Linked DNA regions of Tribolium castaneum. The protein of the gene in region 3 interacts with the protein of the main gene of each other region in a pairwise test. Links are inferred from orthologs where the notes say so. Each region holds a gene or a part of one and is shown on either strand. Other genes may lie near its edges. The genes, in order: eEF2, awd and Uev1A.

Region 1 (4,196 bases), on a different chromosome or scaffold from region 3:
ATATCAAGGAAACCCTGAACGTGGCTTTTAAAGACGGCCCACGTAACCGGAAGCGCCGCATTTGCACCATCATGATCCTTGTTATGGTCATAATCGGACCCATGCATGGCGAAATGCAAGTCATGTATCTGTTTGTCCGACATAGGTTCAAATGGAACGAAATTGACTACAGCTTGTACTCAACCTTCCAATTTGTCATCCACGTCTGTGGAACTGTTTTCTCTTTAATGTTCTTCAGCAAATTCCTCAAAGTCGATGATGCCGTCCTTGGAATGATTTCAAGCACGAGTAAAATCGCCGCTTCCCTCGTATACGCTTTCGCACCCACAAGTACAATTTTTTATCTTGGTAAGTTCTCAAATGACCCTCTCCCACAACCAAACGATTATTGCAGGAGCGATAATCGAGGCTTTAAACGGTACTTCTTTCATCGCCATGAGATCAATTATATCAAAGTTAGTACCTCCGGAAGAATTGGGCAAAATTAACTCTTTGTTTGGAGTTTCTGAAGCTTTAATGCCCCTTGTTTATGGGCCCATGTATAATATAGTCTATGAAACCACAATTAAGGTCCTACCAGGCTCCTTCTTTCTACTTGGAGGGGCTTTAACTGCGCCTGCGATCGTAATATTCTAGTAAAGTTTCACGAAAATGGGGAAAGCTTAAGGTTGATACGAATTTGTTACAGTTGGTTATACCGAGAGCATCAGAAAGATCAACAAGAGGAGGCGAAGGAGAAGCCACAAAAAGCCAGTTTGTTACCTAAATGATAAGAATGTAAATAAATCTGTTTTGTTACAAAAACTGCTTTTTATATTTCACACTAATTGTTAAATAATAACATAGAGAAATTATGAAAACGCGTTGCCAAACGATTAAGGCCCGGTTTCCGGTACGATTAAACTTAAATTAGTTAATTAGTTAAATTTTATCTCTCTGTTAGTTGCTAAGGTACTGCGTATCTGATTGGCGTTGCTATGTTTTAACTGAGGTTTAAATTTAATCCCTCCGTTAAATATGTTTCCAAAAACAGGGCTTTCTGGTTTTTCAAGTTTTCAGTGCGTAAAGCAGAGAATGCTTAAAGTCTATTAAAAAATTGGAAACAATATTTCTTATGGCATATCTCCAAATGAAAGCTTTTTCTCTTCCAGCCACTGGTGATGTGGATTTCGCGGGCACCTTCCACAGGATATGGGACAACCACTTGGCTGAACTGGTCGAATGTGGAAAATGTGGCCGCAAATTTTTCCCTGATCGGATAGAAACTCACCGAAACGCCTGTGCCGGGCTCCGCATTCAAGTTAAAGGCAGAAAACGGGAAACATAACTGTATAAAGAAATAAAACCGTTTTTTTATCAACCCGCTTTTTACTTTTCACCAAGGCGACAAAAACTAGTGACTTTTTCCACGTTGGCAATACCGTGAAGATGCAGCTGCGTGGCAGTTCTTAGCCCACTTCACGTCAATCGTCCTTTCACGGGAGTGCGCCATTACTGGCGTATCGTATTTTTGTGTGTGTTAACAAAATCAAGAAACATCCAACATGGTAAGCCCTTTTTGTGGATTTTATTAACGTTAAACGATTGCCCCAGCCTCTCTCCACGCCGTGGATTATTTATTTCGGTGGCTTAGCGTTATTTTAGTGATTTTTAACGGATTTGTTCAGATTGCACAATAAGATGAAAGTACACTCTATCCGGTATTTATGTTTACTAATAAGTGTTTTTCGGCTTCGTTGCCCGCTTGTAATTAATAAAAACGAACCAAAGCTGGGATTATTTGATCATTTAACGGTGGAAATGTGGAGAAAAGGGGACGTCAAGTGTCAACACATGTTGGATCTTAACCGGACATCTGTTAATGTTATGTGGCCCCCTTAGGTGAACTTCACTGTTGACGAGATCCGTGCTGTGATGGACAAGAAGCGGAATATCCGTAACATGTCCGTCATTGCTCACGTGGACCACGGCAAATCAACTCTGACCGACTCCCTTGTGTCCAAAGCTGGTATCATTGCCGGGGCCAAGGCGGGAGAAACGAGGTTTACTGACACGAGAAAGGATGAACAAGATAGGTGCATCACCATCAAGTCTACGTAAGTGCCCCAACCCTCGTTGCCAGATGGCTGATTCCTTATTTTAGTGCCATCTCCATGTACTTCGAACTTGAAGACAGGGATCTCGTCTTTATTACCAACCCTGAACAGCGTGAGAAGGAAGAAAAAGGTTTCTTGATCAATCTGATTGACTCTCCCGGACACGTCGACTTCTCATCAGAAGTCACAGCCGCTCTTCGCGTCACTGATGGCGCCCTTGTCGTCGTTGATTGCGTTTCTGGTAAGTTTTTGTAAGAAGTGTCGCTTCCAGCACAACAAGAGCCACTTCATAGAGCATTGGCTGCTTGCAACCAACGCTCAACGACGATGTTGGCAGTGCAATGGAAGGAGATTAATTTCAACATGTGTTTAAACGCTGCCACAGGACCTCTATCTTTATGTCCGGTTGTGGCACGCTACGGCATGAGTTGTACATTTTATTTATGAGAAATTGGAAATTCTCGGTTTTTAATTGGGAAACGTGGCGTTTTAGGTGTATGTGTACAAACCGAAACCGTACTTAGGCAGGCTATTGCCGAACGTATCAAGCCTATTTTATTCATGAACAAGATGGACAGAGCTTTGTTGGAGCTGCAGTTGGACTCAGAGGAACTCTACCAAACTTTCCAGCGTATTGTTGAAAACGTGAACGTCATTATCGCCACTTACGCTGATGATAATGGCCCAATGGGTAACATTCATGTAAGTTTTTAGTAATTTAACGATTAGAAGTTAGTTGAAAAAAAAAATGAAATTATGCAATGGTTGTTTTTCTGAATTAAACGCATATCGCGAGTTAATTCGGGAGGTCTAATTAATTTTTAATTGACTAGAACCATGAAGAAACTCGCAGATAAGGTCCACTATTTGCCCTGCTTTAGATTAAAAATATTTAAAGCAGTTTCCTGATGTGGAACATTGAAATTAATTTTTTGTGTCATTTTTTTTATGAAATTTCTTTTTTATAGGTCGATCCTAGCAAAGGTTCCGTTGGTTTCGGTTCAGGTCTCCACGGATGGGCTTTTACCCTCAAACAGTTCGCTGAAATGTACTCTGAAAAATTCAAGATTGACGTTGTGAAACTAATGAACAGATTGTGGGGTGAGAACTTCTTCAACCCCAAAACCAAGAAGTGGGCCAAACAGAAGGAAGCCGACAACAAACGCTCCTTCTGTATGTACATCTTGGACCCCATCTACAAAATCTTTGACAGCATCATGAACTACAGGTGAATAATCTTATTAATTGATTTAATTTACTGGACATGAAGGATGATTGTTCTCACAGACCTGTTCTGATCTGGTTGACGACAAAAGAACGGCCAACTGACCTTAATTAATCTTTAAAAAGTTTTGTGTAATTTTGAATTGTGGCCAATGTTGTTTATTCATGTTACAGGAAAGAAGAATACGAAGCTCTGTTCCCCAAACTTGGTATCCAGTTGAAACACGAAGACAAGGACAAAGACGGCAAGCCTCTCCTCAAGGTTGTGATGCGCACCTGGTTGCCCGCTGGCGAGGCTCTCCTCCAGATGATTGCCATCCATCTCCCATCACCCGTAACTGCCCAGAAGTACAGAATGGAAATGTTGTATGAAGGTCCCCATGACGATGAAGCCGCCATCGGTATCAAGAATTGCGATCCCAATGCTCCTCTTATGATGTACGTCTCGAAAATGGTACCCACCTCTGATAAGGGACGTTTCTATGCTTTCGGTCGCGTCTTCTCCGGTAAAGTCGCCACAGGAATGAAGGCACGTATCATGGGACCCAACTACACTCCCGGCAAGAAGGAAGATTTATACGAGAAAGCCATTCAGCGTACTATTCTCATGATGGGACGTAACGTCGAGGCCATTGAAGACGTGCCATCAGGAAACATCTGCGGTTTGGTCGGTGTTGATCAATTCTTGGTCAAAACTGGCACCATCACGACCTTCAAGGATGCCCACAACTTGAGAGTTATGAAGTTCAGCGTATCGCCGGTCGTACGTGTCGCTGTCGAACCCAAAAATCCAGCTGATTTGCCCAAATTGGTCGAAGGTATGTTTTATTTTTTAATAGTTACAAATATCAAAGCAAGGTTCCTTCAATGATGATT
Region 2 (2,523 bases), about 3.7 Mb from region 3:
TTTTTAGAAATCGAGGTCAAAATTATGCAAATAATTCTAATAAAACAACTAAACCAAAATTTAGATTATCTTATGTGTAAATAAATAAATCATCAAAGTTACAATAACCAAAAATTTAGGTTTCAAATTTGTTCATGTGACGCAAAATTGTCCAAAAATTCTAAATCTGTCTTAATTTTTGTCCTACACTTGTAGTTTTTGGTACTATTAGACGAAATACTGTCGATTTTAATTTTTGCATAAGCGCCCTGAAACTATGAAAAAAGCGTATTTTTTGGAAACAAAATTATTCTTTAATTCTTATTATTTCACTTAGTTTTTCGTTAATAATAAAAGTATTAAACATAAAAAAGAATTTTTTATGTAATAGTGTAGGCAACCAGCAATTTGACTCTGCGCGAGTGCCAAACTAACATGCTACTTGTTCAATGGACTACTTTACTTTTATTGAATTTTTATCGATTAATAATGAAATTATTGATTTACATAAATGAACAACAGCTTAATTGACTCAAAAAATTACAGTGCAACTGCAATAATTTTTGTTAACCCATCTGTCGTAAAATTTTCCTAGAAAACAAGTTTGAACCGGAATCAAGTAGCCTAATGTCACCACAAGACAACCAAAAAAAACAAACCATAATTTTCCAAATTTTTTATTCATTTAAATAAAGTGTAACAAGTTCAATCCTCATACACCCACCCCTCATTCGCCGGCTTCCAATTGATCACCTCCTTCTCCGTGAACCACAACCCGATCTCCTTCTTCGCCGATTCCACCGAATCCGACCCGTGGATAATATTCCGCCCAACCTGGATACAAAGGTCACCTCTGATGGTACCTGGGGCACTGTCGGCAGGGTTTGTAGCACCAAGCATCACACGCCCGGTCTTCACCACGTTCAGGCCCTCCCACACCATGGGCACCACCGGCCCGCTGCTCATGTACTTGACCAGGCCGGGGAAGAAGGGCTTCGTGGCCAAATCGGCGTAGTGTTTCTTGAGGAGCTCCTCCGAAGGCTGTGAGGGTTATTGACTTGACACGTGTGCAAAAATACTCACCCAGGTGAACTTGAGGGCCACTAGCTTGAAGCCCTTCGACTCAAACCGCTTGATTATCTTCCCTACAAGGCCTCTTTGGACGCCGTCAGGCTTGACCATAATGAAGGTTCTTTCACGTGCTTCCGCCATGGCTCTTGAAAATAACGAAAAGATTGACAAGATCGTACAGATCATACAACTGGAAGGCGATTCGTCGAAAACCACGCGCGAGAATTTAATTCGGGGGCTATTTTCGGAGGATTGAACGATTGAGACACCGGTTCGACTGTAACCAAATGAGAGCAAGGAGGAGGGAAGAGGAAGAGACAAAGTTAGAAGACGGGCATTTCCTGCGAAGAGCCACATGTCCCTAGAAGTCAGCGCCTAATTCAAAATAATACGATTGAGTGTGTTATCGATCTTTGTACTTGACCTCTTAATTAAGCTTAATTATGCGATAAATTTAGATTCAAGGACAAGGCTGGTGTTTATTTTCAGCATTTGAGTAAATTATAGGGATTGAGTCACAACTTTCCCAAATTTGAGTGATTTACTGGGAATTATTTAAATTGTAAATTAAACTTGTTGACACAATTTGGCCAAAGACAAGTTTTTTTTTTTGTTTTTTGAATGTTTCAGAAATAAGCTACAATACAGGATGTTTCAAGTTTTAATGCCAGTTTAAAAAAAGCCTGTCCAAAAAAATTATATCGCAAACGATATTTTTGACGAGTTTTTAACACACCTCAATTTAATGCTTTAACGTTATCCCAAATTTTTATGATATGAGAGTAAAATGCAAAAAACTACATTAACAATTTTTAAAGTTTCCAAAGTTCCAGCTTTTACTTGAAAAATAGTTAATTCATTTATTAATTTAATTCGCAATTAGATGATCACGTGACCAAATTAACTGAACTAATTTGGTTGGTCCATTTGCGTTGTTAACTTTTAACAACGAATTAAATTATAACAGAGCTTTCTAACGTGAGATCGAAAATAAACTGAATTAGAGCAGGCCGTGCAGAATTTTAGCCACATGTCAAAAACTGACAGATCAGGATTTTTCAAAAACTAATTCCTTGCTTCTGACATAGGGTTTACCATCCAATTAAAAGCTTACAATGTAAAAGGCTATTTTAACAAATGAAAAAAAAATTGGATGAAATCTCTTTAAGAATTTTTTAAACAGTTATTTGCTAACATAGGAACAGTATTTCTGGACATTTCTTGGGTCTCCTCCACTGTCTTTTATAACACAATTTTTTAATAAAAAATGTGACTAAAATTACACTTCTTTTTCAAAGCTTGCTATAATTCAGTACATTTTCGATCTCATGGTAGAAACCGGCCCTAAGTTTATTAAATTAATTTAATATTTATGACCGATTTATAGAAAGCTCAAATAATGTTAACTGCGCTGTCAAAAGTTTATGGTCCAATAAAATTTGTTTAATTTGATCATTAATTTAAGCCGCAATT
Region 3 (3,186 bases):
TTTTGGATTCCACTGTGCGTTTTTAAAATATTCTTCTACGAGTACAATTTTGTTTAGAATTATTACAGATTACTCTTTAACATTATTTTGTTTCTGTACTCTTTTCTTTTTTTTTTCTAAAATCGTATGTAGATCCAAAACTTTATTAAATAAATTCTTCTGTTGATTTTTTTAATATCCTTGTTAAATTCTTTATTAACACTGTTCCTAGATTAGGTATGGTATAAATTCATCTTCAGATTTTTTTATAAATTATTTTAAAAACATTTCATCTACATTTATTTTAATCTTTTCATATTTTCTTTTAGATCTTACTCTGCTCTCTTTCAAGATTTTATCATGAATATTTTTTGTATTGTTTCTGCACTAAACTTTTATTTTATGCTTTGTTTTTAACCTTTAGCAATACCTATAAACTATAAAGACTCAAACGTCGTATTTTATTAAATTATTTTTTTTAATAAGAATGATAAAAATGTAAAATAGTTATTAATGATCTCTCATTGAAACTATAAATTGCATTAGCTATGTATTGCATAAATTATAAATATAAATAAATAATATTTATAAATAAATAAATTATAAATATAATTATAGAAACTATAAATTACATTAGCTAGAAGTGCATGAATAATTTTTAACACCTAATTTTGAGAGAAAATGCAACGTTAGCATTTTTTATAGTTTTGAAAGAGATAATATCTAATCATTAATACCTATTTTACAATTTTATCAATCTTATTTAACAAAATAATTCGATAAAATGTTGGCGTTTTATAATTTTGAAACTATAGTTTTAATAACAATATTTTTCAACATTATTGTTGGTTTTTTGGCCCTAAATTTGTCGTTAGGACTCAGTTTAACACATACTTTTGTTTTTTTTATACAGAAACTCTTAATTTGTGCTTTATTTCACTCCAAAAATGCAAGTGCTTTGTGCCCATTTTCTCTTAAGAACCCTACAAAATAAGACATAAAAACAAAGTTTGTTAATTCTTGTGCGATAATATTTTTTCAAAATTCTTTACACAATCACCAGGCTTTCGAACAATTCCAAACGGGTTCAAAAATTAAAAAAATTGCCAAAAATTCACCAGAGGTTGACGACATTGCATGATACTGATTTGGAATTGAACTTTGCCCACTCTTATTTAATTCAAGCTAAATTTTAGAACCGAATTTACTTTATTTCAATAATTAAATAATTTACTTAACAGTGCGGAAAATTTTGGATTTCGTGGTGGCCACATTATAGCCAACATTGCGGCTTCTGGTGGAAGCACTGTAAACTAGAAATTCCCCAGAATTGACAGGGTGTAGAAAAATTGAAAGGTGCTGTTTTAGGGAAACGCTAAAAAAATCCGTTTTATTTATAGATGGTCGCGAATTTACATAATATTCCATTATAGGTTCATCGACACGGATTTTCCCAAGTGCTTAAATCCGTAAATCGGGCGATTACACCTTCAGTGATATTTCATCGCGGTGCATAAAAATCATGGCGGCCCCATCAACCGGTGTGGGTAAGTTAATAATTAATCCGTGTGTTTTATCATCAAATTGGGTAAATTTTGCGTGTTTTTGGCAGTGGTGCCCCGAAATTTCCGGCTTCTGGAGGAGCTAGAAGCGGGCCAGAAGGGCGTATCGGACGGCACCATCAGCTGGGGCTTGGAAAACGACGATGACATGACTCTGACTCACTGGATGGGGATGATCATTGGCCCCCCTAGGACCCCGTATGAGAATAGGATGTATTCAGTGAAGATTGAGTGCGGGCAGAGGTACCCCGATGATGCGCCTTCGGCAAAGTTCATTTCTAGGATCAACATGAATTGTATTAATAGCAGCACGGGGGTGGTAAGTGGAGCCGGGTGGGTGCGTAAGTTGGGGCTAATTTTGTCGCCTAGGTGGACAATAGGCAAGTTCCAGTCCTAGCGCGGTGGCAGCGGGACTACACGATTAAGACAGTTTTACAAGAATTGCGTCGGTTAATGACACTCAAAGAAAACATGAAACTTACACAGCCTCCAGAGGGCAGTTGTTTCTAGCCCTTGCGCCCTCCCAACACGTCCCCGTTGCCCTCTGCAGCCAACTGCCCTCTGAGTGTTGATACCTGCACAACTCAGTCTTGTTGTCTTTTGTGAATAAGTATCAATCATTAAGTTAGTTACCCAAATGACATGAAAGGGACAAGATGCAGAGGGGCTAAGTTATGTGTACAGCTTCATGGCTACACCGCTAAATTAATTTTAGGTCATAAAAGTTAGATTCGCCATAAGTTCATACTGTCCAGCATTTATAGAACTGTACTGCTGATGTAATTACTCTGTTCATAATAAAGTTTTATAATAGGATGTGTTGCCGTTATTTGTGCAGGTTTTAATTGTTATTCTAATCGTAATTAATTTGTGATTATAATCAAATAAATTTGTAACTCAGATTTTTTATTTTACATGTCTACTCATTGTTGTGGGTTTGACTGGCTCAAACAACTTCAACACATCGCGCACTTGTCTACATTTCATGTTAACTCATCAACGTCATAATAAAACAAACTAATTTTAGACGCTTCTTTTTATTCCAATTAAAAAAAAACTGAATGAAAAGTGAAAATTTGTCACTTTAAATGCGTTTTTCTCGTTAAAATTTACTGCAAAAATAAAAAAACATCAGAATTCGCTTCAGAGCACTTATTTAATCATCAAAACCCGGAGAGGTTCCGGTAACAGACATTTTTTTATTTTGCACTAAAAAAATAACTTGAAAATTGGGTCAGAACGATTTGAATAGGCGAAGTCTCCGGTTGAAATAGTTTTTTATAAAACCGAACCCTCTAGAGCTTTTAAAGTGCAAATTTTCAATTAATTCTTGAAAACTATTTATGGTGGAGTATTTTAATCAGTTATCAGCGCTTGATTTTACCACATTTGAAACGTTTTTACGATATAAAATTGATTGGGAATTTTTACGGTAATATAATTTATTGTTTAAATTATTAATTAATTAAAAATATTAATAAAAGTTTATGAATTGTAGTGTCGTCCTAAAACGAACGTAAAAAATTGTTGTAACACTCCCAAAATTACGTTTATCGTTTAGATATTTGATTTTTATTTATTCATAATTTTTTTTGTGAGTTGCTTTATTTTTTTGCTTTCTTTTGGCACAAAACAACATTCTCGA

What was found.
Region 1: the proteins of Uev1A (region 3) and eEF2 interact in a two-hybrid assay, tested with the Caenorhabditis elegans proteins (2 studies listed by BioGRID). The link is inferred for Tribolium castaneum from reciprocal best matches to the Caenorhabditis elegans genes uev-1 and eef-2.
Region 2: the proteins of Uev1A (region 3) and awd interact in a two-hybrid assay, tested with the Caenorhabditis elegans proteins (2 studies listed by BioGRID). The link is inferred for Tribolium castaneum from reciprocal best matches to the Caenorhabditis elegans genes uev-1 and ndk-1.

What each region holds. Positions count from the first base shown.
Region 1 is NC_087396.1:14,895,600-14,899,795, reverse strand, and holds the start of eEF2 (translation elongation factor 2), read left to right. Parts: upstream 1-1,391; 5' UTR 1,392-1,544; coding exon 1,545-1,547; intron 1,548-1,881; coding exon 1,882-2,096; intron 2,097-2,143; coding exon 2,144-2,337; intron 2,338-2,589; coding exon 2,590-2,798; intron 2,799-3,064; coding exon 3,065-3,324; intron 3,325-3,494; coding exon 3,495-4,138; intron 4,139-4,196. Other genes in the region: lysosomal proton-coupled steroid conjugate and bile acid symporter SLC46A3, read left to right, coding at 1-348, 395-635, 689-770. UniProt on the Caenorhabditis elegans protein: Catalyzes the GTP-dependent ribosomal translocation step during translation elongation.
Region 2 is NC_087394.1:6,440,450-6,442,972, reverse strand, and holds awd (nucleoside diphosphate kinase), read right to left. Parts: upstream 1,363-2,523; 5' UTR 1,237-1,362; coding exon 1,063-1,236; intron 1,021-1,062; coding exon 685-1,020; 3' UTR 641-684; downstream 1-640.
Region 3 is NC_087394.1:10,169,511-10,172,696, forward strand, and holds Uev1A (ubiquitin-conjugating enzyme E2 variant 2), read left to right. Parts: upstream 1-1,231; 5' UTR 1,232-1,335; intron 1,336-1,341; exon of another isoform or gene 1,342-1,412; 5' UTR 1,413-1,501; coding exon 1,502-1,526; intron 1,527-1,591; coding exon 1,592-1,860; intron 1,861-1,910; coding exon 1,911-2,051; 3' UTR 2,052-2,567; downstream 2,568-3,186. UniProt on the Caenorhabditis elegans protein: Involved in protein ubiquitination, but has no ubiquitin ligase activity on its own. The uev-1-ubc-13 heterodimer catalyzes the synthesis of non-canonical poly-ubiquitin chains that are linked through Lys-63.